Tamandua tetradactyla: one gene and its partner. The protein of the gene in region 2 purifies or fractionates together with the protein of the main gene of each other region. This does not show direct contact. Links are inferred from orthologs where the notes say so. Each region holds a gene or a part of one and is shown on either strand. Other genes may lie near its edges. The genes, in order: SH2D2A and LCK.

Evidence for each region.
Region 1: the proteins of LCK (region 2) and SH2D2A purify together in Homo sapiens (co-immunoprecipitation; 3 studies listed by IntAct, with this or other methods). This does not show direct contact. The link is inferred for Tamandua tetradactyla from reciprocal best matches to the Homo sapiens genes LCK and SH2D2A.

What each region holds. Positions count from the first base shown.
Region 1 is NC_135330.1:9,786,463-9,802,660, forward strand, and holds the start of SH2D2A (SH2 domain-containing protein 2A), read right to left. Parts: upstream 7,651-16,198; 5' UTR 7,343-7,650; coding exon 7,309-7,342; intron 6,725-7,308; coding exon 6,561-6,724; intron 5,780-6,560; coding exon 5,595-5,779; intron 5,094-5,594; coding exon 5,004-5,093; intron 4,786-5,003; coding exon 4,617-4,785; intron 1,811-4,616; coding exon 1,661-1,810; intron 1,401-1,660; coding exon 1,092-1,400; intron 1-1,091. UniProt on the Homo sapiens protein: Could be a T-cell-specific adapter protein involved in the control of T-cell activation. May play a role in the CD4-p56-LCK-dependent signal transduction pathway. Could also play an important role in normal and pathological angiogenesis.
Region 2 is NC_135328.1:193,638,585-193,653,946, reverse strand, and holds the start of LCK (tyrosine-protein kinase Lck), read left to right. Parts: upstream 1-9,088; 5' UTR 9,089-9,242; intron 9,243-15,362. Other genes in the region: myotubularin-related protein 9-like, read right to left, coding at 1,305-1,531, 2,005-2,178, 2,294-2,419, 2,652-2,760, 2,939-3,123; protein FAM167B, read left to right, coding at 5,954-6,205, 6,862-7,092. UniProt on the Homo sapiens protein: Non-receptor tyrosine-protein kinase that plays an essential role in the selection and maturation of developing T-cells in the thymus and in the function of mature T-cells. Plays a key role in T-cell antigen receptor (TCR)-linked signal transduction pathways.

The DNA of each region.
Region 1 (16,198 bases), on a different chromosome or scaffold from region 2:
TGCACCAGGCAGTTGCTTTAGATAAATCACTCTGGCTTTCTTGGGGCATAGTGGATTGCAAGTGGCAAGACTGGTGGTTAGGAGACCAGTTAAGAAACTCCTGGAAAAGTCCTGGTGAGGGATGATGGTGGGTGGAACTAGAGAAATGAAAAATATATTTAGTAGACACCCGCAGGAATTGGTGGGTAGTGGTGGGGTAGGGCTGAGGAGGGAGGGGAGGTAGAGGGAGCCCCGGGGATTGTGGCTTGAAGAGTAATCGGTAAGGAAAGGAAGCACAGGGGCCGGCCGTTGTGCGGGCAAAGGGTGGGGGTAGCGTTGGCTGTATTTAGTTTTGAGGGTCCGCGGGACACAGGGGAGCTGACCAGAAGACTGGGAGAAGTTTGGCTGGAGACATGGATGGTAACATCAGCTCAAGGATAGCAGTGGTTGGCCAAGGCATGGGCAAGTGTGAGGCTTGGGGCTGTGGGGGATGTGTGGGGTGCCAGCAGGGAGGGAGGGGAAGGGTCAGAAGAATGGGGGCAGAGGCAGAGAGGGAGGCTGGGAATAGCCAGTAGGTGCCACAGGTCACATGACCCGAGATACTGATTTGGACTGATCCGTGAGAAGAGGGGGGATGGGCGTTGTGGGTGGGCAGATGAGGAAGAGGGAGGGAGGAGTGTGCAGGAGGGTGGGGCTGCCCCCTCGCTGAGCTCATCTGAGACAGCCCAAGGAAGGCTGAGGGAGGCGTGTGCAGGCGGGGGCTGGGACCCACGGCCCAGGGCGGGGTCAGCTTCGGGCCGGTGTGAAGAGGACCTGATGGACCGGTGGACACGGACAGGCTGCAGGCCCAGGTGGGGGAAGGCGGGGGGGCACACTGCCTGGGGGCCCCTCTTTTCTCTGTGAAGTTCCCACATGCTGAGAAGTGGAGGGGCTGGGAGCTTGACAAAAGGGGGCAGTTCCAAGTGACTTGAGGAGAGAAGAGGGAGCAATTTCCGGGTCTGTTGCCTCAGGCCTCAGACCCAGGCATCCAATCTCAATACCTTCTTTACTCTCCCCTACCCAGCTTTCAGAAGTCCTTCTTATAGTCTAACCCTTCCCTGCATCCCATTTACCTGGCCTCTTGGGACAGGCCTGGACCGGCACTTCCTTAGGATGGGGTGTCCAAGGATGGGCAGCAGGTCCTCACCCCCTGACGTGGGCACCTCCACTTCGGCGTAAATGTTGCTGGCGGATTCCCCAGGGCTGCCGCGGCCCATGGCGTAGAAAGCGATGGGTTCATCAGGCTCGTGGTAGATGGGGTTGGGGGGCTTGGGAGGTGGCGGTGGAGCTGGGCGGGGTGGCGGAGCAGGGCTGCTGTAGACTTCAGAGGGCAGCTGAGGTTTGGCCGGGATGGGAGGCTTGGGCCTGGGCAGCTGGGAGGCCTAGGAGAGAAGGTGTGGCCGGCAGGAGAGGTGGTTCAGAGCAATCCAGGCAGGGCCAAAGCTGGAACCTGAGTCTCAGCCTGGGCCCCTCCTCCCCCCTCCCCGCCCCTCCCCTCCCAGCCTGAGCCCCTCCTCCCCTCACTAGCCCCTCCACCCCCCACCAGCCCTGCCCCTCCCAGCTAGCTCTTTCCTCCTTTTCTGTCCTCCCCCTTCCTGGGGTCCAGCCTCCTCCTCCTCGGTCAGCCATTCCAGCCCAATACCTCCTTGGGCTGCCTTGCAGCCTCCTGCGGTGGGGCTGAGGAAGCCTGGCCCTGTTTGGAGACTGGGCTATACTGGGGGCCTGGATCTTGGTTTTCACTTCCAGAGTGGGGTTCTTCAGTCCTCAGGGAAAGTCCTGCGGGCTCCGCAGTCTGCCAGGAAAGGAGGTGGCCTGAGGGACTTGGTACAGAGGGCACTGGGAGGCAGGTGATGGAGGAGGACAAAACAGCCTGGTCTAAGCCAAGGAAGAGGGTGGTAGTGGCACAGAACTGGGGGCTGGGCTCCCTGGGTCAGGAAAGGGGTGTGGAGATGGCAAGGGGGAGGGGGAGGGGTGCGGTGGGGGTCGCTCTGGGTGTCACTCTCCACATCTAGCATTAAATGTAATTTCACGTGGAACACAGGGCCAGGCTGGTCTCCATCTGTGCATATAAAAATGCAACAAAGCTTTAGAAGTCTTTAGACTAAAATTTTTCGGCATATGCTGTGTCTGTGTTTATTTCTGCAGATGACAGTCTGAGTGGAGCTATCCCCTTCCCAGTCGTTGTGGCACAGGCTCATGTGGGAATATGGGTGTGCACCCGCCCCACAGACCCTGGCCGGTGTGCACCCTCCCCCTGCTGAAAACTGGCCCTGAGATCTCTGGAGCTTTTGCTCTAGAGAATCATAATTTATGGAGATAGAAGCCTGATTTTTGTAGGGGCAGAGACAGCCTCAGGGGAGATGAACCTCACAGTGGGAAGGTTACTATGCTTTCAGCTCAGGATTTAGCCCTAGGTTCATGAAAGCTGTGCACATGCCACTCCTTCTGGTAAGCCAAGATTCTGGGGCTCTCCCTATGGTCATGCATGTAGATGTCTCCACCTAGAGATGTGCAGGCACCACAGGCTTCGTGGGTCCATATCAGAATTATTTCTCCCTGCCCAAAACCTCTACTCTCTCTGCATTCCCTTTATGAATAAAAAGGGGCATCTGCATTAAGAGTCAACCTCAATAGCTCCACCTCTCTCGCTCCCTCCTTACATCTAATCAAATACAAGCCCTACTCCTTTCACTGCCTAAATATCTTTCACATCTGCCTATTTGTCTCTATGCCCACCACCCCAATTCAAACTGCTCCCCTGAATCCTCTCTTGCTCCCTCCAACACCTTCTCCTCTTAGGGTGGCAGAGGAATCTTGCAGAAACTTCACCTGCAACTCTCCAGTGCCTGTGTGCTGCCCCTAGGACAAAGTCCACACTTCTGAGAGCACGAGTTACAAGACTCTTCATAGAGTTTGGGGCCACCGGGCTTGGTTTCTGCCCCAATTCCCAAATTATCCGTCAAACTCCTTCCCGCTGGCTCCTCCTCAGCCCTATATGTCCTTAGACCCAGTTTCTGCTGCTTGGGTATCTTTGGTCTCTGCCCAGTCCTCACAGGATTCCATGAGAGGTGCCCAAGGCACTGTCCCTACTTCTTTGAACTGACCCCAATCAAGCTTCTTGAAACAGTTCTTGTCAAAGTCACCAACTCCTCTTGGCTTACTTCAATGGTCAATTCTTGACCTACTGGCACTCCCTCTTCCTTGACTCACTTTGTTTGGTTTCTAGGACATCATTCTTTCCTGTTTTTTTTCTTTCTGTCTCTGGCTGCTCTTTCTCAGTCTTCTCTGTAGGTTCTCCTCATTTCTGCAAACTCTAAATGCTGGAGGCTTGGCTTTTACTTCTTTTCCATCTAATCTCACACCCATGAGCGAGATTTTGCTCCTCCTGAAGGTTTCAGAATCCATCTACACGCTCATGACTCCCAAATGTTTATTTCCAGCGCTGACTTCTTTCCCAAACTCCAGACTCATGTTTTCCAACTGCCTACTTGCCATCTCCATTTGGATGTCGAATGGACATCTCAACTATGCATGTTGAGAATTGAACTCTTGATCTAATCCCTACACCTCCTCCCCAGATTTGCTTCTACTATGTCTTTCCACTTCAGTCAATGACAACTCCATCCTTTCACACTCATCTAATCCTGCAAAATCCTGTCACCTCCATCTTCAAAACAGACCCACCATTCTATCACCCAATCCCTCCTCACCTCTCATCTGAAATACTGTCGTAGCCTCATCTGGTCATCCTTGACCCTCCCAAACTTGCCAGGTCATGTCATTTTTCAACTTGTAAATTTCCAGTCCCATCTCATCTCATTCAGAACAAAATCTCAAATCTGTACAAGGGTCTACAAGGGTCCTGTTCCCTTACCTCTCTGATCTAGTCTTCTGTGGTTCTACCCCTCAATCACCCGCACACCCTCAAGCTCACTTCCTCGCTGTTCTCACTATTCTTCAAACACATCCAGCATCCTCCTATCGCAGGGCCTTTGCACCTGCTGTTCCCTGTGCCTGGAATGCATTCCCTCCAGTTGTAAGCTCCACTCCCTCCCTTACTTCATTCAGGCTTCAGTTCAAATGTGCCATTTCCAGATTGGCCTTCCCTGATGTCCTTAGGTAAAAGAGCCCCAACCCTGTCAACTATCACTGCTTGGTTTTTCTTCTCAGCACTTACTTATCATGACCTTACATATGTATTATTTGTTTGTTATCTGTATTACTTATTCACTGTCTGTCTCCGCCCATCAGAATGTAAGTCCCATGAAGGCAATGATATTTTCCCATCTATTTTCCTGCTTCCCAGAACAATGCCGGGCTATGGTAGGTACCCAGTAAGTGTCTTGATATTTAATAAATAAATGACTATGTGCCTAACTGCTGTCTCCCTGCCCCTCCTGTCTTTGGGTGCTAGGACCCCTCTCCGCGTGCTCATCTTTCTCGAAGGGCTTCCCAGGAGTGGTGACGACAAATGAGGCCAGGGTGGGTCGCCTGCTGGGATGAGAAGGTGCCTGGAGCGGACAGGCACTCCGCCGGGGGCGCTGGGCGCTGGCCTGAGTCCCGGGGTCAGGGTCCGGGGTAGGGGGTGGGCGGCATACCTGGCGGGCGCAGGGCTCGGTGAGCTTTTCCCCGTAGGGGCTGAGCGGGCACGCGGTGTAGTGTCGCAGCAGGTCCTGCAGCCGCTCGTGGGCGCTCTCCTCGCCCAGCACCACGTGGCGCCCGTCCCCGAGCTGGGCCAGCAGGAAGTGGCGGCAGCAGGTCCGGCTCCTGCAGGGCGCCATTCGAGGTCGGACCCGCTCCGACTGCCAGGCGGGGGCCACCGGCGCTAGGCGCCACCCCTCCCCCGCCCTGCCCAGCTAGGATGCGGTTCCTTCGGCGGTCGGGAGAGGAGCGAAGAGTCCCGCCCCTCACACGTCCGTCAGCGCGAAACCCCGCCCCCTCTCAACTCGAAGCCCCGCCTCCAGGGCGCCGCCCCGCCCCCTCACCTGTAAGTCAGCACGAAGGTCACGGCGCTCTCACTGAAACGCACCAAGTAGCATCCTCGCGGCTTGGGCTCCAGCAGCTTCTCGGCCTCCCTGTGGGTGGCAGAGAGAAGAGACGGAACCCCTCTCTGACCCTCTGGGCCTCGCCCTGTCTCCCCGGCTCTCGTGGGGGCCTCCCAACCCCAACAGAGCACCCTGAATTGCCTAGAAAAGGACTAGGGTGGGGGTGGGGAGAACTGGGGGTGTAGAGGGACTGAGAGTCCCCGTCAGGAGGTCCGCCTGGGGGGCTGGGGCTGCAACAGAAGCGTTTAGTAGGTAGACTTCTAGATTTCAGAAGTCACAAGCTGACCTGAGACCGAGAAACAGAGAGGCGGAAAGCATAAGGGCTGGAGGCCTTAAGACAGGAGGATAATGCGGCTAGAGAGAGAAACTGAGGCACAGGACCCAACTGCTCAAGCTTCTCTCATTATCTCCCCCAGGAGAGAAGCCTTAGTGAACGGTCTGGGAGTCGGGAGACTAGCGCCTCAGTCCCAAACCAGCCAAGGGACCCAGGACGTGCTCCTCTCCAGGCCTGTTTCCTCTTCTGTGACTCACCTGCGGGTGATGAAGCCGTGGAACCAGGCGGGGGCTGCCCCGCGCTGCACGAGCCAGTGGGCCTGGGTCTTCTGGAACCAGTCCCGGATCTCGGCCTGCAGGGACAGGCCCCCTTCCTCAGGCAGCTCCTCGGCTTTCCCAGCTTCTCCTGGATTGGAGGCCACCCCCAGGGCCTGGAGAGATGCCTGGTTAGGGGACGAGTCCAAGGAGGGGGAAGCAGCCACCGTCAGCGGGCCTTCCCCTGACTCCAGGCCAGCCGCCACCTTCTCACTCTCAGGTCCAGCCCTTCCCGGGCATGAGGAGGACGAAGGCCCACCTGTTCCAATCGCCTACTTAAGGGTGTAATTATCTAGAAAGCCCTTCCCAGGGTCTTACTTAAGTCCACTTCCCTTTCGGTCAAAAGGGTATTTCATCCAGCAGCAGTGACTCCCTGCGTCACTGGGCTTCAGTGAGGGTGAGACAAGCATCCTGGCCTTCCTGATGGACAGAAGGTCAGTCCCTGGCCTGGGGACGGGGGTTGCAGAGAGATGAGGCGTGAAGCCACCTGGGAGGCCAGGAATGAGGGTGAATTCACCCTACGGTAGGAAGGACCAAAGCTGGACCACAGATGGGACTTTCCAATGAACTGAGAAGGTGCGAGAGACTGAGATGGGGCTCCTGAATGCACAGGGTGGATGAAGGCCACCGGCAGAGAGCTGCTGTCGAGTGCTAATTGGACTAAAGGCACTGTGATCTGGAACTGGGGGCTCAGCCTGAAGCTTCCCAGGGGCAGAGGAGCAGTGAGTGGGAGGCGAGTGGGCAACTCAGCAGATGCAAGAGGTAGGCCCTGTCTCCTTTCCGCTGCCCTGTCGGCAGCCCCCTGTCGCTCACTCCTGCTTTCTCCCTTCCCTTTGTCTATCTGCGAGACCTCACCCGTGGGAGGCTGGGAGCAGATGAGTGGGCTGCGCCCCCCAAGTCCCCACTCACCGCGGCATGCACATCCAGGGCCCTGGGGCTGGGCTGGGCCTGCTCGGCCTCCAGGGCCTGGGATCTGGACCCGGTGGGGAGGCCCAGGCCCTGGCAGCTCCTCAGGTTGGCCAAGTCCCTGGGTTGGAAGGTGCTGAAGGTTGGGGCAGGGTCTTGGCGACTCCCTGTCGGGACAAAGAGGACTGCTGGGTTTCTCAGGGAAGGATTGCCTGTCCCGCTCCCTCCCACGCCTCCTCCAGGCTCAGGGGGTCCTGCCTGCCTCCGACAAGGGACCAGGATGGGGACCTTAGGATAGCAGGAGAAATGCAGAAGGGACAGCAGGGAGGATGTTCCAGGGATGAGCAATAAGGAGCCAAAGAGACACGGAGGGACCACGCCGGGAATTAAGCTGGTCTTCTGGTGGCCAGGAAGTCCCACCATCAGGGAGGCAGGTCGCTTTGGGGCAGGCCTGTCTTTGGGGCCAGAGCCCTCGGCCACCTCTTTCATCTCTCCAGCTCACTCCTCTCTCCTCCCTGTGAAGCGCTCAGCAAACCCCATCACCTTTATCCTCAGGATGAGCAGACCTGGAGTCACCGAGAAGGGGAAGGGGGCGGGGGCCCTGGCGGTCAGCCTTGCCCAGCTCTGGCTTGGAGTGGGGCTCTCGTGCCTGCAGTGGGGGGCTCTGGCCCACGGGAGAGGGCAGGATGATGAGAGATTTGGGGCTGTCTCGAGGTCCCCTCCTACCCACATTCTCCAACTTCACACTTACCTTGAGGGCATATCTGGGCCAGGGGGCACTCCATGGGGAGAGCCTAAGAAGGGAGCTTCCGGAGCAAGGTGTGTGTGTGTGTGCGCTCTGGAGAGGTGTGTGCACACTCAGCAACTCATTTCCCCTCTCACTCGGGGCCCCCGGGGCAGGAAATGTCGCCTCACCCACGGCCTTAGCCCCGGCTGAGGACCCACGTCATGGAAAGCCCTAAGACAATCGTCCCTCCCCCCGGAAGCTGGCCCATTGAGGGAGGGTGTTTGGGTGCTGGGAAGTCCTTTCTGCTGTCTGAACCCTATCCCTCCTGATTCTTCCTCCACTCCCCACCCCAGGCTGGGACTTGAATTTCTCCCTCTCACTCTAGGCTTCTGCTTTCTCTCTGGAAAATGCACCCCTGCCTTTTGGTCCGTTCTGCAGTGGGAATGCGATGCAACCTCAGAGGGATCAGCCCTGCAGGGTGCTCGGGTCCTTCAGAGGTCCACACTCAGGCTTATGCTCCCAGAACACATGAGGAGGGGCTGGGGCTGCAGCAGGAAGGACGTGGGTCAGACTTCTGGAAGGACTTTCTGGGGTCACAGGGAAACTGTGAGGCAAGGGAATAGGGAGGAAGGGTCCTGGCTTCCATCCATGAGCGGATCATGGAGCTGGGTTAGGGCAAAACCAGTCAATCTTGGAAGAAGGGTGGGAGAATTTCCTCCAACTAAGCAGGAACGATATTAGTTATTGTTCATTAATACCATGAATGCCCACATGTAGTGTGCACATGCCCCTCCCCATTTAGAGGACCACTCTGTCTCATATGATCCTCGCAGACTAGGAAGAGGGCAGACAACATTATCTCAGTTTTCCAGAAGGGTCAGCTGAAGCTGAGTCAGGTTGAGTGCTTTGCCTAGGCTCTTTCAGCATGTTAGGAGCTAGTGGCCCAACTGGGTCCAGAAACTCGATCTCCTTTCACTAATATTTTAAATTTTTTATTATTTATTTATTTTTAAATACCAAAAAAAAGTAAACAAATGCAAACATTCGTAACTTTTGATCATTCTTTTCACTAATTTTACCGTGATTCAGGCCAGTGGTCCATGGAGATGGACCAAGCGCTGTTCTTTTTTCTTTTTTCCTAACTTTTTTTATTGTAAAACATAACATATATACAAAACAAAGAGATAAAAAAGCAATAGTTTTCAAAGCACTCTTCAACCAGTAGTTACAGGATCCCAGAGTTTGTCATGGGCTACCATACCATCCTCTCAGATTTTTCCTTCTAACTGCTCCAGAATGTAGGAGGCTAGAAGGCTAAAATATATTTTTTATCATCACGATCGACATTTTTGTGTATGTGTGAAAAATAACATATATTTTTATTGTTATAAAAGCAATAAATTTCAAAGCACAGCACTACAATTAGTTGCAGAACATATTTCAGAGTTTGACATGGGTTACAATTCCATAATTTTAGGTTTTTACTTCTAGCTGCTTTAAGATACTGGGGACTAAAAGAGATCTTAGTTTAATGATTCAGCAATCATATTCATTTGTTAAATTCTGTCTTCTCTGTATAACTCCACCATCACCTTTGATCTTTTTGTCCCTCGCTTTAGGGGTGTTTGGGCTATGGCCATTCTAACTTTTTCATGTTGGAGGGCTCTGTCACTAATATGGGGTAGGGAGATCAAACTGGTTGATGGTCTGGAGAGGCTGGGCCCTCTAGGTTTCAGGACTTACCTGGTCCAGGGAGCCGTCTGGAGGTTGTAGGTTTCTGAAAAGTTATCCTAGTGCATGGAATCCTTGTGGAATCTTAAATATTGTCCTAGGTGTTCTTTAGGATTGGCTGGAATGGCTTTGGTTGGGGCAGGCACTGTTTTCTTTAGGCTGAGAACTGACAGAGCTAAAGGACTATGTCCCTGCCCTCAGGAGGCCAGGTAGAGGACATGAACTTGAACAGATATTTATAAAGCCTGTGGTGAGTTGGTGGTATGGGCTGGTGCGATGGGAACCTACCTCAGAGGCTCCTTGTCCAAACTTGTGTATTTGTGCAAGAGAAAGCAAGTGAGAGAGAGAAAAAGAAAGAATGTGTAGGAGGTTGGAACTTCAGAAGAGGAGATGGAGCTAGAGCCATGGAGGGTGAGTAAAGTTGAAGAAGATGGGAAAGTGTTCCTGGAAGAGAGTCCAGCATGTGCAAATGCACCAACATGTGAAATGGTGTGATGTAAGGGGTAGTTGCAGATGAGTGTGTGACTATAGCAGATGGGCTTTAAAGCCAAGGAAACTGCTGGGTCTTCTCCCCCTTCTAGAGTCTTAAGGAGGTGGGGCTGCCCTCCCCTTTTGCTCTTTGGGTATGGTACCCCATATCCCTCCTCTCTTGCTCTCATAGCTTGCTCCAGCAAGGCTCTCATCTTCAGAAATTTTAGGTAAGAGCTATCTAGGTTCACAAAAGGCTCCCAGACTCTAGGGGACATTTATAGTATCTGCCTTCTTGTTCATTGCTGTTTCTCCATCCCTTGGAATTGTGCCTGATATATAGTAGGTATTCAGTAAACATTTGTTGAGTGAATGGATGATGAATGCTTTCCCTCAGTGTGCTCTGCATCGAAAGCAACACATGGCGGGCTGAGCAACCATCTAGCTAGGTGACAAGATGCCACATCCCCTTCTTGAAGCTCTCCTCCCAACACTGTGAGTGAGTCTCTTGAGCGCCCCTTCTTTCGGCTTGCGAGATGGAATCAGTTAGGCTAGGCTAGGTTAGCATAACTTAACGTAATAAAGAACACTAAAATGTCAGCGGCTTGACATGACAAACATTTGTTTCTCACCTGTGCAAATTCACTGCAAGTCTGGACATCTCTTCAGGGCATCTGTGGCAGAAGTGGTGGTCCAGCCTTCCACGCTGCCCAGATTTTTTGATGCCTCCATATCTACACACGTTTCTGCAATCTCTGTGACTGGGGAAAAGGAGCACGGAGCATTATGCACTGGTTTCTAAATGTTACTTTCCTTTTTGGAAGTGAAACACACCACTTCTGCACTCTTCATTGGCCAAAGCAGATCACATGGGATGCCTAATTTCAAAAGGTCAGGGATGTGTATTTTTCCCTGTGTCCAGAAATGGAGGAGAACCAGCTATATTGGCCTAATCTTGTCTACTGCAGGTGGGGAAGAATAGCAACTCAATTATCCAGTCGTGAGCACAGGGTTAGTAGGTGTTTTAGCAGAGCTCAGGGTGAGAATCAAGGTGCTAACACTTCATTGCGAGCTGCAACCAAGAAAAAGAGAAGCATGGCCACAATAAAACGAATGCAAAACAATAGCGCTGCATTGGCTACCACTTCAAAACGAATTGCAAACAGAAACAGCCAGTTGCTTGATAGGCATTTTCATTTGGCAGACTTTTTCCAGAGAGGGTGTAAGATGAAACCTACCTTGGCATCGTCCACTAAAGGGAGAAAACAGGAAGAATTATCTGTTCAACTCTGTCTTGCCTCTCACTTCTCATTGGTCAAGGTTTATCCCGTACGGACTGACCTAGAGGTGACATCACCTGCACCCTGTGTGACCTCATAGCCCTGGCATGTGGTGTTCATTATAAATCAGGAATGGAGGGATCGCCATGACAGGGAAAGAGAGAGATGGAGGAGGCACACCGGCTCTTAACTGCTTCAGCCTGGAAGTGACACATGCTGCTTTGGTACTTTTCATTGGGTAGAATTAGTTAGTTGGCCCCAGCCTGATGGCGAAGGAACCTGGAAAATGTGTAGAAGCCACGTGGATGCTCTGGACGCACCAAATGCCTCTGCCATAGCTCTGAAAAGAGAAATTAGGAACAAACTCACTTAGACATTCTAGCTTTACTGTTTTGGAAAATATTTTTAATTTGAAGTTTCCCAGTGAGAGAGTATTCAGTCAAAAAGAAAGAATAAGCCCCCTGCTGGTGGGGCTTCATGTATTTCTAATCTTCGGTTAGAAATAATTCTCAGTGAATAATATTGCCCATATTTTGCACGTGTATGAGTGTACTGCAGTGGCAATTTTAGTGTAGGCTGCCTGTTGAATCCCCTAGGGGCCTCAAAAAGTGCTGATTCCCAGGTCACACCTCAGAGACATCGAACCACTGAGGATGGAACCAGAGCACAGTCTTTTTGAAAGGGTTGAAAAAGCCTTCTTGACCAAAAACGGGAAGAGAGAGGAAACAAGATAAAGTTTCCGTGACTGAGAGATTTCAAATAGAGCTGAGAGTTCATTCTGGAAGTTATTCTTATGCATTATATAGATATCCCTTTTCAGTTTTTAGTGGATTCGATTAGCTAGAAGGAAACACCTGAAACTGTTGAACTGTGTTCCGGTAGTCTTGATCCTTGAAAACAATTGTGTCACGACACAGCTTTTACAGTGTGACTGTGGATTGTGAAAACCTTGTGTCTGATGCTCCCTTTATCCAGACAGTGTATGGACAGATGAGTAAAAAATAAGGACAAAAAATGTCCTTAATGGGGAAGGTGGATAAGGGGCATGGGATGTTTTGAGCGTTCTCTTTCACTGTTATTTTTATTCTTATATGTATATTTGTTTTTTGAGTAAAGAAAATGTTCAGAAGTTGTTTGTGGTGATGAATGCACAACTATGTGTTCGCACTGTGAGCCACTGATTGTACACTTTGGATGATTATTTGATATGTGAATATATCTCAGTAAAATGACATTTAAAAAAGAAAGAATAACAATGGCAGTTCTTATATTTAGAATTCATCATTTTCAATAAAAATCTGTAAACTAAATATCTATATCCCAGGAATGCAAGGGTGGTTCGAGATACCAAAATTTGTCAATGTAATACTAAATACATGGAGTGAAGGGGAAAAAACACATGATTATTTCAGTAGATACACAAAAGGAATTCAACAAAATCCTACACCCTTCCTGTATAAAAACACCCAGAAAGGTAGGAATTGAAGGAAACTTAACATGATAAAGGCCATTTATAAAAGCCCACAGCCAACATCATAATCAATGGTGAAAGATTTAAAGATTTCCCCCTAAGGTCAGGAACAAGACAAGAATGCCTACTTTTATCACTGATGTTCAATATTGTACTAGAAGTTTTAGCCAGAAAAGTTAGGCAAGAAAAATATATAAAAGATATCCAAACTGGAAAGGAAGAAGTACGACTATCTCTGTTTTCAGATGACATAATTTTATATATATCAAGTTCAAAGAAAATTAATAAATTCAGCAAAGTGACAGGTTAAAAGGTCAACACACAAAAATCAATTGAGTTCCCTCCAGATGGGTCCCTGGTCCATATAAGTCCTGAAACCTTAGCCCAGCCTCTCCAGAATATCAGATAGTTCCATCTCCCTACCCCATATTAGTGACAGACTCTTCCAATATGAAAAATTTAGAATCGCCATAGCCCAAACATCCCTAAAGAGAGGGAAATAAAGATCAAAAGTGATGGTGGAGTTATACAGAGAAGATAGGTTTAACGAATGAATATGAATGCTGAATCATTAAATTGATATCTTTTTTAGTCTCCAGTATTTAGCAGCTACAAGTAAAAACCTAAAATTGTGAAATTGTAACCTATGTCAAGTCTGAAATATGTTCTACAACTAATTGTGGTGCTGTGCTTTGAAATTTATTGCTTTTTGCATATATGTTATTTTTCACAAAAAAAGAAGGAAAAAAAACGTTGAATGTGATGATAAAAATAATATTTAAGCCCTCTAGCCTCCTATATTCTGGAGCAACTAGAAGGAAAAATCTGAGAGGATCGTATGGTAGCCCATGACAAACTCTGGGATCTGTCCTGTAACAGATCCTGTAACTACTTGTTGAAGAGTGCTTTGAAAACTATTCCTTTTTTATTTCTTTGCTTTTTATATATGTTATACTACACAATAAACAAAGTTGAAAAAATTGATTGGGTTCCTGTAAACTAGCAATGAACAATCTGAAGAGAAAATTAAGAAAACAATTCCATTTACAAACAGCATCTAAAAAATAAAATATCTAGGAATAGGTTTTACCAAGGATCCAAAGACTTGTAAAATGAAAACTACAAAACACTGCCAAGAGAAATTAAAGAAGATCTAAATAAATGGCAAGACATCCCATGTTCATGAACAGAAGTGTTACTATTGTTAAGATGTCAATATTTCCCAAAGCAATATACAAGTTAAGTGAAATCTCTATAAAAAACCTTACACCCTTTTTTTGTAGAAATAGAAAAACCAATCCTCAAATACATATGGAACCATAAGAGGCCCCAGATACTCAAAACAATTTTGAAAAAGAAGAGCAAAGTTGGAGGACTCACACGTCCCCATACAAACCTACAGTAGGCAAAACAATGTGGCGCTGGCATGAAGATGGACAAACGGAACAATGGAACATAACAAAGTCCAGAAAGAGTCCCGTATGTCTGTGGCCAAATGATTTTCGACAAGATTTCTAAGTATGCAAGCGGGGAAAGAATAGTCTCTTCAACAAATGATGCTGGGAAAACTGGATATGCAGTTCTAAAAGAATGACGTTAGACCCCTTCCTCACACCACATTAAAAAATAAATCAACTCAAAATGACTCAAGGACCTACATTTAAAAGCTAAAACTATGAAACTCTTAGAAGATAACATAGGACCAAGTCTTCATGACCTGGTGTTTAGGAATGGATATTTAGATATGTCACCCAAAGCATGAGCATCAAAAAACAATAGATACATTTGATTTAATCAAAATCAAAAACTTATTTGTATAGGAGAGAATTATCAAGAAAGTGAAAAGACAACCTAGACAATGGGAGAAGATTGTAGCAAATCATATGTTGGATAAAGATTTAATATCCTGAATATATAAAGAATTTGTATAAAGCAACAACAGAAAGACAAACAACCCAATTAAAAAATGGGCAAAGGATTGGGTAGACATTTCTCAAAGAAAATATACAAGTGACCAATAAACATATGAAAAGGTGTTCAACATCACTCATCATTAGGAATATGAGAATCAAACCCAAGAGATACCACTTCACACCCACAAGGATGGCTACTATTTAAAAAGTGGAAAATAACAAGTGTTGGAGAGGATGCAGAGAAACTGGAACTCTAGTGTATCGTTGGTGGGAATGTAAAAAAGTGCAGCAATTGTGGAAGACAGTTTGGTAGTTCCTCAGAAAGTTAAGTACAGAATTACCATTTTTATGCCCCAGCAACTCCACTTTTAGGTATATACCCAAAAGAATTGAAAGCAAGGACTCAAACAAATATTTTCATACCAATGTTCATAGTGGCACTATTCGCAATGGCCAAAAGATGGAAACAGCCCAAGTGTCCATCAATAGATGAATGGATAAACAAAATGTGGTATATCCATGCATTTGGAATATTATACAGCCATAAAAAGGAATGAAGTTCTGATACATGTGACAACATGGATGAACCTTGAAGACCTCATATTGAGTGAAATTAACCAAGCAGAAAAGGACACATATTGTATGCTCTTACTGATATGAAATATTTAGAATAAGCAAATTCATAGAATCAGAAACTAGAATACAGGTTATCAGGGGCCAGAGTAGGGGTAGGGGATAAGGAGTTAGTGTTTAAATTGTACAGTTTCAGTTATTGTGACAGAAAGCATTTGGTAATTGGTGGTGGTGTCGGCAGCATCGCATTGTGAGAGTAATCAACAGCTCTGAGTTATATATTTGAATGTGGTTAAAAGGGGAAGTTTTAGGTTGTATATATGTTATGTGAATAACCATTTTTTAAATAAAATAAATGGTGCAGGACGGGCGACGGTGGCTCAGTGGCAGAGTTTTCACCTGTCATGCCAGAGACCTGGGTTTGACTCCAGGTGCCTGCTCATGTAAAAAAATAAATACATAAATAAAATAACATGGTGCAGCCACGGTGGAAAGCAATATGGTGGTTCCTCAAAAATGTAACTAGAAATTTACCATACGGCTTGGCAATTCCACATCTAGGCATCCACCCAAAGAAAGTGAAACCACGTCTCAAATAGATGCGTGCACACCACAATTTACAGCGGCGCTATTTGCAATAGCCAAAGGTGGGAACAACCAGGTGTCCATCCACAAAGGAACGGATAAGCAAAATGTGGTACATGCACGCAATGGAATATTATTTGGCCCTAAGAAAGGATGCCCTCTAAGAGGCGTGCTGCTACCTGGAAGAACCCTGAAAACAACACGTCAGTTAAATAAGGGCAGCATGTAAGAACAAATATTGTATGATGTCACTTATAAAAGATGATGAGAAATAGAGAATTTGCAGAGATAGAGGGCAGATTAAAAGTCACAGGGAATGGGGAGAGGAAGGAAGGGGGACTGTTTGTTTGTAAAGAGAAAGAGGAAGAGGAAGAAGGAGAGGGAGGGAATATGCAAGGAAAAGGAGAAAAAAATCAATGAACAAATGTAAAGGCACACGGCACATATGTTCATATTTCACCCACAAAATTCATTTTTGGGGAAACAGAATTGTAACAGAATTTGTGACAGGAAAATGGACTGGAATAAGAATAGAAGGATATTAAAAAATTAAACAGTGGGCAGCAGGCAGAGTTCTCGCCTGCCATGCCGGAGACCCAGGTTCGATTCCTGGTGCCTGCCCATGCCAAAAAAAAAAAAAAAACCAAAAAAAATTGAAACAGCTTTTGAGAGGCTGTGCTATGTATGTATAACCTGGTGTTTTCCTGGAAGAAAGATCGAAGGAGAAGGTGGAGTTATAACAGGGAAGATAGGATTTAATGAATGAGTATGAATGCTGAATCACTATATATATTTTTTATTTTATTTTTTTAAATACAAAAAAAACCACCAAATAAATGCCAACATTCCTATTTTGATCATTCCGTTCTACATATATAATCAGTAATTCACAA
Region 2 (15,362 bases):
GTGTACATGGCCTGGGAGCAGGAGCACACCAGACCAGACAGACAAAGAACCCTGTGGGGAGCCCATGTGATGGGAGGAGGGGACATGGGACCCTTTGGGGAGTCCAATCTCAGAGAGCATAGAATCCACTGGAGAGCTAATCTGAAGGAAGTGCTTCAGCATACCTGAGTATTCCACAGCCTGATGGGGGAAACCCAAGACCTTCTGAAGAGACCTAGTCTGTTGGTGGGGTGGGTGGAAGGTAGTTAACAACATTATCTAGGAAAGGATCACAGCCCTCTAGGGAAACAGAATGCTCTGGGAAGCCCCTGATTTGATGGAAGTGTCACAGTACCCTGCAAGTTCCCCAAACTGATGGGACAAGTAAAGGACATTCTGGGGAGCCCAAGTCTGACATGAAAGACACAGTACTCTTGGGATTCTGGCACCTGCTCCTACTTCCCAGAAATGGCTCTGCTCAAGGTCACCAGGGAACTCTTGTCAGAAAATCTAATGGAGACTTATCAGCCCTCTTCTGTGACTACCCACCACCTTTAGGATAGAGTCTAAACACATGAGCATGGCTTCCAGGCTTTTGTTGTGGCTGCAACCCCCATCTCCCTCTACTCCCACTTCACCCTCTGTACTCACATACTGAAGTATTTGCAGTTCCCCAAACAGGAAAAATGGCCAGGCTCTCTGCAGCTGTTTCCCTGCCATTTCCTCCACCTGGAATATCCTTCTCCCTCCCTTTGGCTATTTCCTCCTCCCCTTTCAGGTTTCTGCTAAAGCACCCTATCCTCAGAGAAACCTTCTTTGGACTACTAAGAGAGGGATGCCTCCTTTGGGTTTCTGAATTCTAACTGCCACTAATCTCAGCCTTGTCTGGACCAGTTGTACGGTCACAGCCCCCGGGCTCAATCAGTGTTGTTTAAACAGAATTTGTATTCTAGAAAGGGGAGCAGTCCACTCAAAGCCCCCAAACTCCTTCAAGACATCCTCTTGTCACTACCATTGGTTGGAGACAGAGGAAACATACCCCTGTGCAGACCCTCAGGGCAGGGTTGAGCACAATGGGGAGTCCAACGTATGTCTATGTATATAGGGGGCTTGTTCCAGGAAGACAAATTTCAGTTTAAAGTCAAAAGGCCAGGATGCCTACAGAGCAATAAGCTCTATCAGTGGGGGTGTGCAAGTAGGGATATCCACTTAGCAGGATGGCAGTCTCCAAGGTTCCTTGCAGACGCACCTTATCACATACACCAAGAGTTCTGCAGGAGAGAGCCTTCCTAGGAAAGGATGGGAAGCCCCACGGTCTCCCTCACCTCTCCAGGGGCCGATGCAGCCGTTTCCAGCCAGGATAGGCAGCCTTGGCCTCGGTGCCGCCGCCAGTAATGCGGGCCTGTTTAGCCTCCTGAGCCGAACGCGTGTCTAGGATGAAGCCCCGAGCCTCAGGCCGAGCCCCAGCCAGCACAGCCCGCAGCAGCAACTCGTCTTCTCTGCAGCGCCGCTTCTGGGGCCCGGTCAGCGGCTGGCTGGAGCGTAGCAACACCTGCAGGCAGGGACCCTGCTCCAAAGGCCGTACCCACCCAACCAGGCTCAGGGATTGCGCTCCGAGAGTCCCTAGGCCAGGTCCACAGTAAGGAGAAGGGCTAGAGCTGGCAAAGGCTGGAGCGTCGGGGCCTTAGGGGCGGAACTCCGAGGGGTCTGACCCAGGTCTGGGTGGGTTCGAGGCAGGATGGGGAAAGGGACCCAATTAGACCGTGGGAGGGTCCTGTATTTGACAAAGAAGGGACTAGGTTTCTAGCGGCCCAGACTGGCCGTGGGCGGGGTTCTGGGAAAGGCAAGACCTCGAAAAGCCGGAGTGGGCGAGCCAGAGGGTGAGGGGAGGCGTCTATCGAGGGCAGGGTGGGGCCGGGCCAAAGAAGAGCAGGATCCCTCGCAGAATTGGCCGGACCAGTACAGAAGGCCAAGAAGGGAAGCAGCTGGTCCGAGGGGCGGAGTCTGGGGAGGGGCGGGGCTCACGGTTCCGCTGGGAGCGTAGTAGTAGCTGAGCACCGGGCAGCGGCCTCCCTGGCGGAAGCGGGCGCTGCGCGCCAGGGTCTGGTCGTCCACCGCGCGAGGCACGATCACCGCGCGAGGGTAACTGGGGCACAAGCTGAAGTCCTCGTTCGCCTCGCTCAGCCTCCACGCGTTGGTCTGCGGCGCAGGGAGGGGTGAAGGCCTGAACTAGGGCAGCGAGTGAGTGTGCGGTCCCCGCCCCCCTTCCAGGCCCGACGTTGTCTTATCCCCAGGCCCCCACGACCGCGCCCACCTCGCGAGCTATTCGCTTGTAGTAGCTTTCGGGCGGGTGAAAGTGCCAGGCGTCGCCCAATCTCAGGCCCTTGGGCCGGTAGAAGAACGGAAAGGAGGTGATGACCGACTCCAGGGAGGACAGCGCCTGGGGAAGGAAGTCAAGGGGTCCGGGAGAGTCGGAATCGACTCAGCCGCGCCTCTCCAGGCCCTCCGCTCTGCAGCTCCCGCCTCCCCACAGACCCCCCTGCGTGCCCCCGCCGTTTAGTTGTGTCCAGGGATGACATTGGATGCGCATTTCCCTCTCAGAGTAGCCTTTTTCACTCCCCTCGGTACAGCACAGGGATTGCTTAAAGGCCTCTGTCGCGCCTCAGGCGTACCTCAATGGAGCGGGCGATGTCCAGCGTCGCTTCCACACCCTCTATGTCCAACTGGAGCACCCGCAGGTCCTTACAGCGTAGTGTGATGGTGCCCGAGTCACCCGCAACTCTGCGGACGGACGGTTCTAGGCTCAGTGTCCCCCGCTCCCCACCGGGGGAAGAGAAACGAGCCTTATCGGATGGGACGTTAAAGAAGGGTCTGGCAGCTCCAATTGCGCTTGCCCTTCCCCCTTTCCCTGCCGAACCGCGCGCTCCGCAACTTTGGGGATGCCCGCACCACGTCTCACCGCTTCTCGATGGAGTCGACACTGCGTAGCAGCAGCAGCCACAAGTCCGTGGTCGTCTGGGGCGCTGGCGACAGCAGCAGGTGGTGGCCGGTGACGTACAGCGTGCCGCGCAGCGGGGGCATCTCCGGGCCGCGCAGGAGCTCGGCCTGGGCCCGGCTAGTACGGATCAGTTCGGAGAACTCCATGCCGCGGGTGGGGGCCCTGAGGCCCAGCAGAAAGACTCCGCGAGCGGCAGGCGGGGCGCGCGCGGGCTCCTAAAGGGACAGGAACTGGCTGGGCAGCTGGCGACGCCGGCAAGACAGCTGTTAAGGAGGCCCCTCGGAGGAAGGAATCGCACAAGAATTTTCCCCTTCCTATTGTCCGCCTATTATGGGAACCTCGATTACCTCATCTGTGAAATGGGGAGAATAATCTTGCCTAAAGCTCTTACTCCAGTGCCTGGGTCGCAGGAAGCACTCAGTATTTTTATTTTTTAAACCCTGGAGTCCTGACAATATCGCTGACTTTAAAAAGAAAGAAAAATAACCACTTCTTCCTCTGTACTCTGATAAGAGGTCAGGAAAGAGTGGGTGTGAAACGGGGAATTGCCTTTTTTTCCCCCCATACATCTGAGGCTTGGGTGGGGGAAGTCCCTTGGTCTACCTTAAATGCAAGCAGCTGTGCAGCTAGCGCCCCTCCCCTTCCACAGCTGGAAGGCCCTGCGGGAGGGCGCCCTCTACGGGGGCCACTTTGGGCAGATTTCTGCCCTCGAGAGTGCCATCCACTATCACTCCATCCTTTCACCAAGTGTGTATTGCCCTCTGCGTTGCTGGGTCCTGTGTTAGGTGCTGGGAACCCAGGGCGGAGGAAGTTCTGATGGTAGGATTTCAGTTTGGCAAGAGACAGACTCACAATGGTCAATTACCAGGTTAAACCCACTTAATGGAAGACCCATCCATCCATTCATCCATCCAATTATTCTTTTATTCCGTAAACACTGATGCCTACTCTCTGTCAGATGCTTAATTACTAAGAAGAATAAGACCGACTCCTGCTTATAACAGACCTTTTGGTTCTCTAGTTTCAGACCTTTTTTCCTTTTTTTGGCAAAATCTTTCTTTTAAATGAAAAAATGAAATCATAGGTAGACCCCCATAAAATAAATATAAAATTGGAATTGTGGTATGGATAAAAACAGATACAAAATAATACAAATTATGAAGTCCAGACCAGCACCAGCACTTGGGAATTTATTAGAAAAGCAAAGTATCAGGCCTCACCCCAGTCGTACTGAATAAGAAATTTGGGGGATGGTTGTTGTTTATAGTTGTTTGTTGTTGTTTTTCCCCTAATATTAGAGAAGTGGGATGCTTACAGAAATATCATGCAGAAAATACAGAGTTCCCATATACCCCATTCACATACACTCTTCCCTATCATAAATACTTTATATTAGTGTGGTACCTTTGTTATAATTGATGAAAGAATATTATTATAAGTTAACTATATTAGCTATAGACCATAGTTTACATTAGGGTTCACTGTGTAGTACAGTCCTTAAACAACAGCACTATTCCGCTAACATATACACAACTTAAAATGTCCCCTTTTAACTACATTCAAATATGTAATTCAGTGGTGATTGCAGTCACGGTGTTGTGCTACTATCGCCATCATCCATTACCAAAACTTTTTTCCATCACCCCAAACAGAAACTATGTACCAGTTAATCATTAACTTTCCATTCCTTACCCCAACCCCAACCCCTAGGATACAGATTATCTAGTTTCCAACTCTATGAATTTGCTTATTCTAATTATATCAGTGAGATCATACAGTATTTGTGTCTGGCTTATTTAAGTAGAAAAACGCCTTCAAGATTCATCTATGTTGTCACATGTATCAGAACTTCATTTATTTTTAATGCTGAGTAGTATTCCATTGTATGTTTTTACCACATTTTATTTATCCATCTTATAGCAATTGTGAATAATGCCAGTATGAACATCGGTGTGCAAATCCAACAATCTATTTCAAAAGCCCTCCAAGTAATTCTGGTGCATGATAAAGTTTGAGAACTGCCAGAAATATAAAAATGGGTATAATTCTTATATCAGAGTTTAATCCTATGTAGTCAGAAATTAGGGCAGCAGTTACCTTTAGGTGAATAGTGAGGGGCCAGGAGCCCAAAGAAGGAATTCCAGGGTGCAGGTGATACTATGGCTTCATCTGGGTACTGGTTACATAGGTGTGGTCAGTTTATGAGAATTTCTCAAGGTGTGTAGTTATGTGCATTTTTCTGCGTGTATGTTAAATTTCAAATATTTCAACACAAAGTTTTAAAAAAGGAAACTATCTGGTTGAAGTCCTGTGAGGGGGCTAAGAAACCAACCACAACTCTGCCCTTCCCTCTGCCCTAAGGAATTTCCAAGGAACCCTAAGGCTCCTCAGAGTATAATTTGAAGTCATTGATCTGCCCCAACTGAGACCCAGAGAATGTCAGTGAGTTGTCCGAGGTCCTACAGAGTCAGCCCCAGAACCATGGTGTCCTGACTCCCAGGCCAGGATTCGGGACACTATTCCTTTGCCGAAAGGCCAGTGTCATGAAGGAGGACAGGGGCAGCTGGGCAGCCTTCTCTCCGCTACCCGCTCCTTAACGTGGGGCTTGGGAGGAGAGCCAACATTCTGTTGCGGATGATGCTTTCCTTATCCTGGAGCAACTTCCTTTCTGGGAACTGGGTGTCTCCTTTTGGGCAAAAACAATAAAATTCATCCAAGGGGTCAGAGGAGCTGGGCTCCTCCTGCCGCCTCCAGGATGGGCATCACGTGGCTCCCTGGGTGAGCAGTTCAGGAAAATCCCAGCCCTTGCAGACTCGGCCTCCTACACCCATCTGTTCACCCACGCTGTCACACTCAGCCCCCCAGGCCCACCTTGGACCTTCACAAACACCCTGGCATACTCCTTTCACCCCCAGCTTCTGCCACCTCTCCCTGGGCAATATTGCCAGCCCTTCCCTAGCCTATCCCAAAGCTCCCATGTCCTTGGGGCCACAGAAATTCCAGCCAGTCGGCAAAGAGGATGAAAAGGAGGAGAGCCTGGACTCTGTGAAGGCACTAACGGCCAAGCTGCAGCTCCAGACACGGAGGCCCTCCTACCTGGAGTGGACGGCCCGGGTCCAGAGCCAGGTCTGGCACAGGGTCCAAGCCAAGCCCGGGCCGGGGGGATCTGGAGCCCTCTGCGGCTTTGACTCAGTGGACTCTGCTCTTGAGTGGCTTCGTCGGGAGCTGGTGAGTCTGGTGGGGTGGGGCGCCTTTCAGAGGCCAGTCCTGCTTAGGGCCCAAGACCAAGGGTGTGGGGAGGGAGTAAGAAAGGACTCTACCCCCCAGCAGCTGCTTATTCCTGTGACTCTGTCCTGGGCCTAAGAAGCAAGGAATAGATTTGTCCTGTGTTTTGTTTAGGGAGCTCTGCTGAAAAAGTATCTGCTCCAATCAACTATATGCTCCTATCGTCCTGCTCTTGAGAAGGGCACCAGTTATGGGTGGGAGAAGATACTCTGGGAATTGCTGTATCCCGAAGATACACTGAAGTATAAAAGCAGGCAGTGACTAAGCTGTAGGCAGAAATCCGAGGAGCGTAGTATTGAACAGGTGGTTCTCAACCCAACATGTTGCAATGTAAAGATGCCCAGGCTTCAACCTGGAGATTATGTTGGCTGATCCAGGAGGGCACCCCAGGCATCTGTATTTGTTTAACAATAGCTCCCTAGCTAAGTTTGAGAATCACTGGTGGAGCCAGATCTGAAATGGGGAGGGATCAGGCTGGGGCGAGAGGAAGCTGGGACTGACACAACCAGCACAAAGGCCCAGAGTGTTGACAGGAAGGGATAACTGGCGTGAGGGCCGGAACTAGTCCAGCCAAGGCTCACGTCCCCTCTTGGTTGCAGCGGGAGATGCAGGCTCAGGACCGGCATCTGGCTGGGCAGCTCCTGCGACTGCGGGCTCAGCTGCACCGGCTGAAGGTGGACCAGGCCTGTCACCTGCACCAGGAGCTGCTGGACGAGGCCGAGCTGGACATGGAGCTGGAGCCAGGGGCCGGCCTAGCGTTGGCCCCACCACTGCGTCACCTCGGCCTCACACGCATGAACATCAGTGCCCGTCGCTTCACCCTCTGCTGAGGGCCAACCGCTGCCCTTTCCCCAGCCCGCCTAGGAAGGAAGAAGAGCAGGGTGCCCCAGAGGCCCCAGCACCTGACAGCGGGTGAGGGTGAGGGAGGGTTCAGCTCTCAGAAGTTCTGAGAGTACAATGCTCAGGCATCCTGTCATGTCCAGGTAGTGCCCTCTCCACCCCCTACCCCACCCCTACCTGGAGAACCCACTCCACCCCCCACCCCACCCCCGGCTTCTCAATAAACACCCTCTCTAATTTCCAACAAAGTCTCTGTAGTCATTTACTCATGTGAAGTGCAAGTGTCTGTGATCTGTCGCTGGGACCAGTGATTCCTGCAGGGGAGAAGGCCTGTTTGGTAGTGAGGAATCCCATCCCCACCAGAAGGTCCCGTTCTAGTTCTCTGTCTTATCTCTCAGCTTCTTTGCCAGAAACTCAAGCTCAGAACTGGGAAGTAATTTAAAATCCCAAGTCACCCGCACCTGGAAAAACTGGAAAGGTGTAGAATGCAGGATGTGGTAGACCTGGGTTCAAAGTCAGTTCCCCCATTTATTTCAATTAGACCTTGAGGAGGTCCCTCAACCTCCGAATCTGTTTTTTTACTTCTAAAATTGAGATACTAATTCTCACTCCAAGGTAGTCAGAAATGGCTTAAGTGAGATAATTCACAGTAAACACTTAATAAATGTGAGCTTTCTATTACTGGTCATTACTGTCACCCAGTAGCATTAGTACAATAGTGCTAATGGCCCAGAGAAGGACGGTGAGATGCTCAGGATGGCACAGCAAGGTGAGCAGGACCTTGTGCCCTGCCGCAGACCTGGAGCCCTGGCTCTGAGCAATGTGCGCTCTGTAAGTTTTTTACTTTACATCTCTCTGCCTTTGTTTCTGTGTTACTCTCTTTGTCTGGCTTTTCAACTCAGGCTTCCTCTTCCCCCCACCCATTTCCTGCCCCCCTCCCACCTTCACAGCTGAGGTGCACACAGAATCAGCTTCCATTTCACAAACCCCAACAATACTCTGTGGGTTCCCCTCCCCCAGCTTGCTCAGGGCTCAGGCCATGATGGTGATGCATTCACACTTTCCTTGGGTGGGGTCAAGGCCCAACTCTTGGGCCTGCCAGAGTTCACCTGGAGTTCTTCAGATTCCTGGTTCCTGGCCCTCTGCCCATGACAAATGCCACCGTCAGACTGGCCCCAGGCAAAAGGGAGGTCCTTGGTTTGCCTGCTGCTCATGACAAGGATCCTGCCTATAGCAGGAAGTTCCACCAGTCTGCTGCCTGCACCTGGGTGCCTGGGCAGCAGAGTTTGTTCTGCCTTCCACCTGTTGCAGATGCTGGCAGACTCTGCATCTCTCCCAGGGGCTGTGGCCTTGCCTCTCCCTGAATTAGAAGTGTCGCCTCACTTTCCAACCATAATTAGTACGTATCGCCCTGCCCATAATTCGTAGGGTCTGTTACTCTGCCCTTCTGAAGATGCAGTGTTGACCTGCCAGCTTCCTGAAACCGGGTTGTCCAGGATTTTGTCTATAAGAGGGGTTTTAGCCTAGCCTCTGACTTTAATAAAGCACTTGTCCTGTCCCCTGAGACAACATGACTATTGCTCTACCTACCGATTGTAGCAACCCAGTGAGCTGCTGTCTGACTGTGCATGGGTGTTGTTTAAATCTCCAACTATTGAACAGAGGTGCTGTCCTTTCTGCTGACTTTGAAGCCGTCAGACAGCAACAGTGGTGCTACCTGCCTTTCCCTGTAAGCTGAGCCTGTGTCTGCTTGCTCCTTGCTTGTCCCTGCTCGTTGGGCTCAAGGGCTGTCCAGGAGCACCCTGCGGGCCAGGACATGAGGTTCCATCCAACATTCATCTTCTAAGTGCTCACCCTCGGGTAAGTCGGGCCTGCCCCTGGAGATGTATGGGACCCCCAGGGGCTGAGGGGCGGGGGGCTATGGCAGCAGGAAGCTTGGGGTGTTGAAGGCTTGTGGTTGGGCTGCTGGGGCCGGGTTGGCTGCGGAGTCCTCAGGAGGAGGCAGGAAGTCAGCGTGGGACGTGGGCGCGAAGAGGTAGGCAGAGGCTACGACGGCGAGGGGAGCTGAGACCAAGACTGGGCAGCCGGGCCGGGCCAGGAGGACCATGTGAATGGGCCGGAAGGCTCCCGGGCTGGGCAGGTAAGGGGAACTGGGAACAGGGTAAGGGGAACTGGGAACAGGGGTCTAGGGGCTGTGGCGTGGTTGGGGATGACAGCAATGAGCCTGCAGCTGAGCATGGGGTCAGGCGTCCCAGGGTAGGCAACAGCCCTTCAGGCTGGGGGACAGAGAAAGCTTGCTGGTGGTCAGGTGGAAGGCATGGAGGGCGACTGGTTCACCTCTTTCCTGCATAGTGGGTGGCTCTTGCCTCTGCCACACTATCCACCATCAGTCCTTGCCTCACTGTTTCTTAGAGAGCTGATACATGGAATGTCAGATATTTAAAAGGCCTTCAGTAATCATCAACTACAGTTCCTTATTTGACTTAGGAGGCTCCTGAGACTCTGATCAGGCAAGATGCTCATTCCCCACGGTGCCTCAGCAAGGCAGTGGCCGGGCCACGATGGGAACGCAGTGCTCTGGCTTCACTGGGGGAGCATAATGGCCTAGATCGAGACCCCCACACCACCCTCCCTGGAGTAGAGTGATGGACAGGTTTGAGTCCAGGGGACCCAGGAATCTTCTGTGTCCTGTGGCAGATCTAGTGACCATAATCTCCTGAGAGGAACCACCCAGGGCATCCGCATGGAGGCATGAGCAGCAATTTTATCTTCAGTGACCAGCATTACTTGAGAGAGGGAGGGGTCGCCCTATAGGAATGGATGGCTACATAAGGGGATATTTATGATCTGGATTAGACTCTCCAGGGTGAAAGTATCTGCTCTGACTCTGGGAAGTTGGAGGGGGAGAGGATGATGGGAGAAAAGGAGAGGAAGGGTTATTTTTATCCTGGACAGGGTGCAGTTGGCTGTGGGCAAGGAACTCTGAACTTCTCTCTGGAGAGTTGCCACTCCTGCCTCAGCCAAGAGTTGCAGAATGTCCTCTTCACTCCTCTTGTTCCCTCCTGCTTCAGCCCTCAAGCGGCCGCTGTATGCAGGCCAGCTAGGCCCTCCGAGTCCTCCTTCCAGCCTAGGGAAGTGGAGGCCCAGGAAGGCATAGTCAGCTACCCGCCCACCCGCTCACATTCTACTTCTGAGCCTTCAGTTTAGTGGGGGAGTCCCCTACCTCAACCAAACATCCCAGGTTCCCCTGCCATGTCCTCCGCCACTGGAGTTTTTCTTAACACACAATTTCCGCCTAGTCAGCACGTCCCAGCCTTTCCTCTGTCCCCAGGTCCGAGGCCTGTGGGGGCTGGAAATGTGTTGGCTCATTGGTGCTGCAGGGGGACTCCTCCACCCCCTGGCTGACTGACATGAGCAGTCCCTTCCTTTCCTGTGCTAATAGATGAATCAGACAGTGGCCCTCATCTCTCCCTCATCTTTGGGGCTCAGGGACAGAGGCTTTTCCCAAAGGGAGGAAGGGCTCCGTAGATAGGGACAGAGAAAGGACCGAGGGTTCAGAGGCGAGAAGGCTTCTCTCAGGGGGATCTAGAGGGCTTCCTGGAAGAATTAGGGCAGTTTTAAGAAGAGCAAAAACCCATTTTGGAGAGAGCTTGGGACGTGAAGCCAGAATCACCATCCCTGGGCTCTCGCTGTTCCTTGAGTACCATGAGGGTAGAGACCAAAGGTAAGAGAGCCAAAGGTGTCGCGTAGTGCAAGGGGCACGCGTGTTAGATTCAGGCCGACCTAGGTACAATTCCGGTTTTGCCATTTCCTTGGACGAGTGGCTTCACCCCCTGTATTTCAGTTTCCTTACCCGAGGCAATGATAAAGCCCTCCCTTACTGAGTGCTTGTGGGGAATCAAAGAGAAAATAATGACCGTGACATGCCCTGGTTAATACCTGCCACGTAGAAGGTGCTTAACGAAAGTTCGGTGCTCCCTCCCCATGCATACGCTGCAGCAGAGGGAAGGCTGCCCTCGCCCAGAATTGTACCCACTCAGCACCTTGTCAGGCCAGTGAGCCACCCATTCCCTCAACCCTTGTGGTGTAGCTTTGCATATGAACTTGTTGTTTCCTGTGTATAGTGGGTGTGAGAACTCAGGCTGGCTGGATTCTGGGCTACCTCTGAGGTCAGGAGTCTACCTCAGAGGGGGGTCCCACAACATGGCCTCCCTGTCCGAAACAGGCTGGATATCATCATGAGGACATGTGTGCATGTATACTCAGAGGCAGAAGCAGAGGCTACACACACAACACACCCGCACTGGTAAAAATCAATCCCCACACCCACAAGCCGATGGCTTCAAGGTCAGGTTCAACTCAGCAAACGCAATTCTCAGGGGAGATGGGTGGGGGTGGACACAGGCAGGACCAAGATACCATCCGGGGCCGGCGCCTCTAACAACAAACTGCACGGTTAAAGTACACGGCGCTGCATTTCCCAAGCTTTTTCCGTAGAACATTAGTTCCATGAGGCACCTGGAAAGGAAAGGGCTCTGGGGCCAGGTACACATGGCTTCAGTTACAAACTCTGTCCCTCTGTTTCACAACCAATGTCAGAGCGTTAGAGCGTTGAAAGTATCCCCCAAGAAAAGAAATCTGATTAATTTAGTCTAGTGCGGTTTCCCAAATTTCCTTGGCCGCAGAACCTTTTTACGTAGTGACCTTTTCCACGGGCTGCACCTCTTGAGATGGGTATGGCGGAGAGAAGACGGGCTGCGCAGTCGGTCTTCCTCAAATGATGGCATCTCTTGGTAGAGTTTTTCCATTAGTAGCGGTTTTGTTGTTTTTCTGTTCGTTTTTCATTTACAGAATTAGCACATGGGTGTTTTTAAAAATTCAAAAAGTACAGAGACATATAAAAAATAGAAGAAATGTGTCCCCTCTGGTCCACTTCTGGAATGTGCTCGCTTTCAGCAATTTGGTGTGCATTCTTCTAGACTTTTCCACATATGGCTGCTTAAGAGCACAGCGGTTAAGAGCCTGCACAGTGGAGGAAGGCAGAGCAGACCGAGGTTCAGCTCACAGGTCCACCACTTGTTTGTTGTGAGGCCTCAGACTCCTTACCCTCTTTGGGTCTTAAATTTCCTTTTTTTTTTTCAATTATTATTTTTTCTTTATTAGAAAAGTTGTGAGTTAGCAGAACGAGCATACATACAATACAAGATTCCCACATACAGCCTATTATTAACCCCGTGCACTGGTGTGAAAAATTTGTTACAGTAGATGAAAGTACATTTTTATAATTGTGCTATTAACTAAAGTCCCCGGTTGAACTTAGGATTTGATGTTTGAGTAGTGTAGTTTCATGGATTCTTTAAAAAAAATTCTATTCTATTACCATATGTACAATCTAACATTCCCCCTTTTAATCACATTCAAACATATATTACTGTGCTGTTAATTGCTTTCACAATGTTGTGCTACCATCACCATTATCCATTACCAAAACATTTCCATCTTCCAAACAGTAACCCTGTACATTTTTTGGGGGGGGGGGTGCTCAGTTTTTATATCTGTAGAATGGGAATAATGGTAGCACTTACCTCATAAGATTATTGTGAGAATTACACGAAATCATGCAAATAGAGGTTTAGCACAGGAGCTGGTGTAAAGGAATTCCCCATATATACGTATTTAAATGCAAATAGGCCTATTTTCTACATTTGGTTCTGCAACTTGCTTGCCATGTTATCTGTGGACTCTTTTTCCACGACAACATATGGAGCTCTACTTCATCGTTTTAATGGATTTAGCTACCTCTTAGCTTGCGAATGGGTAATGGTGGTGAATTTGAGATGCTGCTACCAGGCAAGTGGAACTGTTTTGCATTGACAGTGTTGCTGGGAGTCACAGACAGCACCCATCAGCGAGCTGACGACAGGCTATATGGTTTCCTAAGAAAAGGGAGTGACCTGCGAGAGCAGTGCCCGCCTCTATCACAGACCGTGGGGCCGAATGGACAGGAACCCCTTTTGTCTGCTCACCTCTGTGTCCTCAGCACTAGTGCAAAGGCTGGCACGTTAAGTTTTTGCTGATAGACCCACCAGCTAAAAAAACTGGGTCTCCTTCAACCCAGGGACAAGGGCCCAATCCTAATGTTCTCCCTCGCAGTGCAGCATTTCCTAAAATGTGACCTGTCCACCATTGATGTGTATGAGCTGATTTCAGGGGATAATGGATGGATGTCTAAAAATGTTATTTTGTGTATTACATTATGTGTTTATTTTAATGTGTACCGATTTGTACTATCTATCTATGGCTGGTGATACTGGTTTACATTTATGGTAATTTAAAAGTGTTCCTTTTAAAGTAAATATATTACAACTGAAAAAGTAGTCCGTGGACGTGGCAAAAATCATATAAAATGAAGGAAAATGAAAATGATGAATTAGTTTAGTCTGGAAAATGTGTGAGACTGGTGCAATAAATGTCCCACCCCAGTCACAAACAACAATGATTCTTATTTATTGAGTCCTTACTACATACCAAGCACCATGTTAATCTCATATAATGTTTACTACAACTCTAGATGCAGCTCCTATCTTTATTCCCATTTTGTAGATGAAGGAACTGAGGGAGGCTCAGAGAGGTTTAGTAACCTGTCCAAAGACCTCCTGCCAGTGAGTGTGATTGGAGACCTTGGGATTAAAATCGGGTCACTATGACATGTGTGTGGTGAGCTGGACCTCGATGACTTGCAGATTTCCAAAAACCTTATAGAGCAGCACAGATTGCCAAGCCGTAAACAAGGCTCTGTCCTGATAGAACCACTATAACGTAAAAATGCACATAGATCGACCCAAGGAAGGAAAGTCACTGAAAGGAATTGCATGGTACATACAAGATACTAGTTAGGGAACCTCTACCCAAACTACCACCTTAGAAACATGGTGCTATAGCCCTTATTTATTGCATAAATATGGAAGAATCAGTTTTATATCCAAGTCACTCCCAGTTCATATTAAACCTGGCTTGCTTCGCACCTAAAAGAAGGTTTATCTTTTTGTTTCTGCAGCCAGAAGCCACCAAGTTCATTCAAAAGTGATATTCTATGAAAAAAGGAGGGCACATGGGACACATCTTTGCTTTACCCACTGGAAATTATTTACCCAGCCCACCAACCCTGATTCTTGAGTACTGTAATGAGGGTTCTGTGTGGGCATTCACAACTAAGGCTCTTCATTGAACATATGCAACTTTGCCCACAAGCAAATCTTGGCCAGAAACAATGGCCAAGAAAATCTTTAAAATTATTCCTGATACACTTTGCCACAAGGTGTTCCAGAGGACAAAATGGCCTGTAGTGGAATAGCTGGTATGTTCTTGACCTAAACTTTAGCCTGAGAAACCCAGGCAAGAAGAAGGCACACATTTTTAAAAATTTATTTATTTATTATAAATAAACAAAGCCAGGTTTAATTAAGAACAAACAAACAAAAACATTAACATTGCATTCCGTTCTACATATATAATCAGTAATTTACAATATCATCACATAGTTGCATATTCATCATTTCTTAGAACATTTGCATCAATTCAGAAAAAGAAATAAAAAGACAACAGAAAAAGAAATAAACGATAACAGAAAAACAAGATTATACATACCATACCCCTTACCCCTCGCTTTCATTTATCACTAGCATTTCAAACTAAATTTATTTAACATTTGTTCCTGCTAGTAAGAAGGCACACATTAAAAAAAAATTCTTTTATTAATTAAAAAAAATTACAGAAAGAAACACAAACATTCCCAATATGTGATCATTCCATTCTACATATGGAATAATCAGTAATTCACAATATTATCACATAGCTGTGGATTCATCATCCTGATCATTTCTTAGAACATTTGCATCAATTCAGAAAAAGAAACAAAAAGACAACAGAAAAATAAAATGAAAACAGAAAAAAAAAAACCATACACACCATACCCCTTACACCTCCCTTTCATTGATCACTAGTATTTCAAACTAAATTTATTTCAACATTTGTTCCCCCTATTAAGAAGGCACACATTTTGAACAGAATAAATGAATAGGTCTATAGTTTGAGGAAAGGAAAGTGGTATCCTTTTAAAAAAAAAAGGTGGGGGAGGATGCACCTTGAGCCCAGCCAGACAAGATAACATCTGTGGAGTTGATAAAAGTGAATAAGTTGGCAAGAACCAGAGTTATAGTGATATGATTCCTAAACAACTCTGGGATGAGAAGATCTAGTT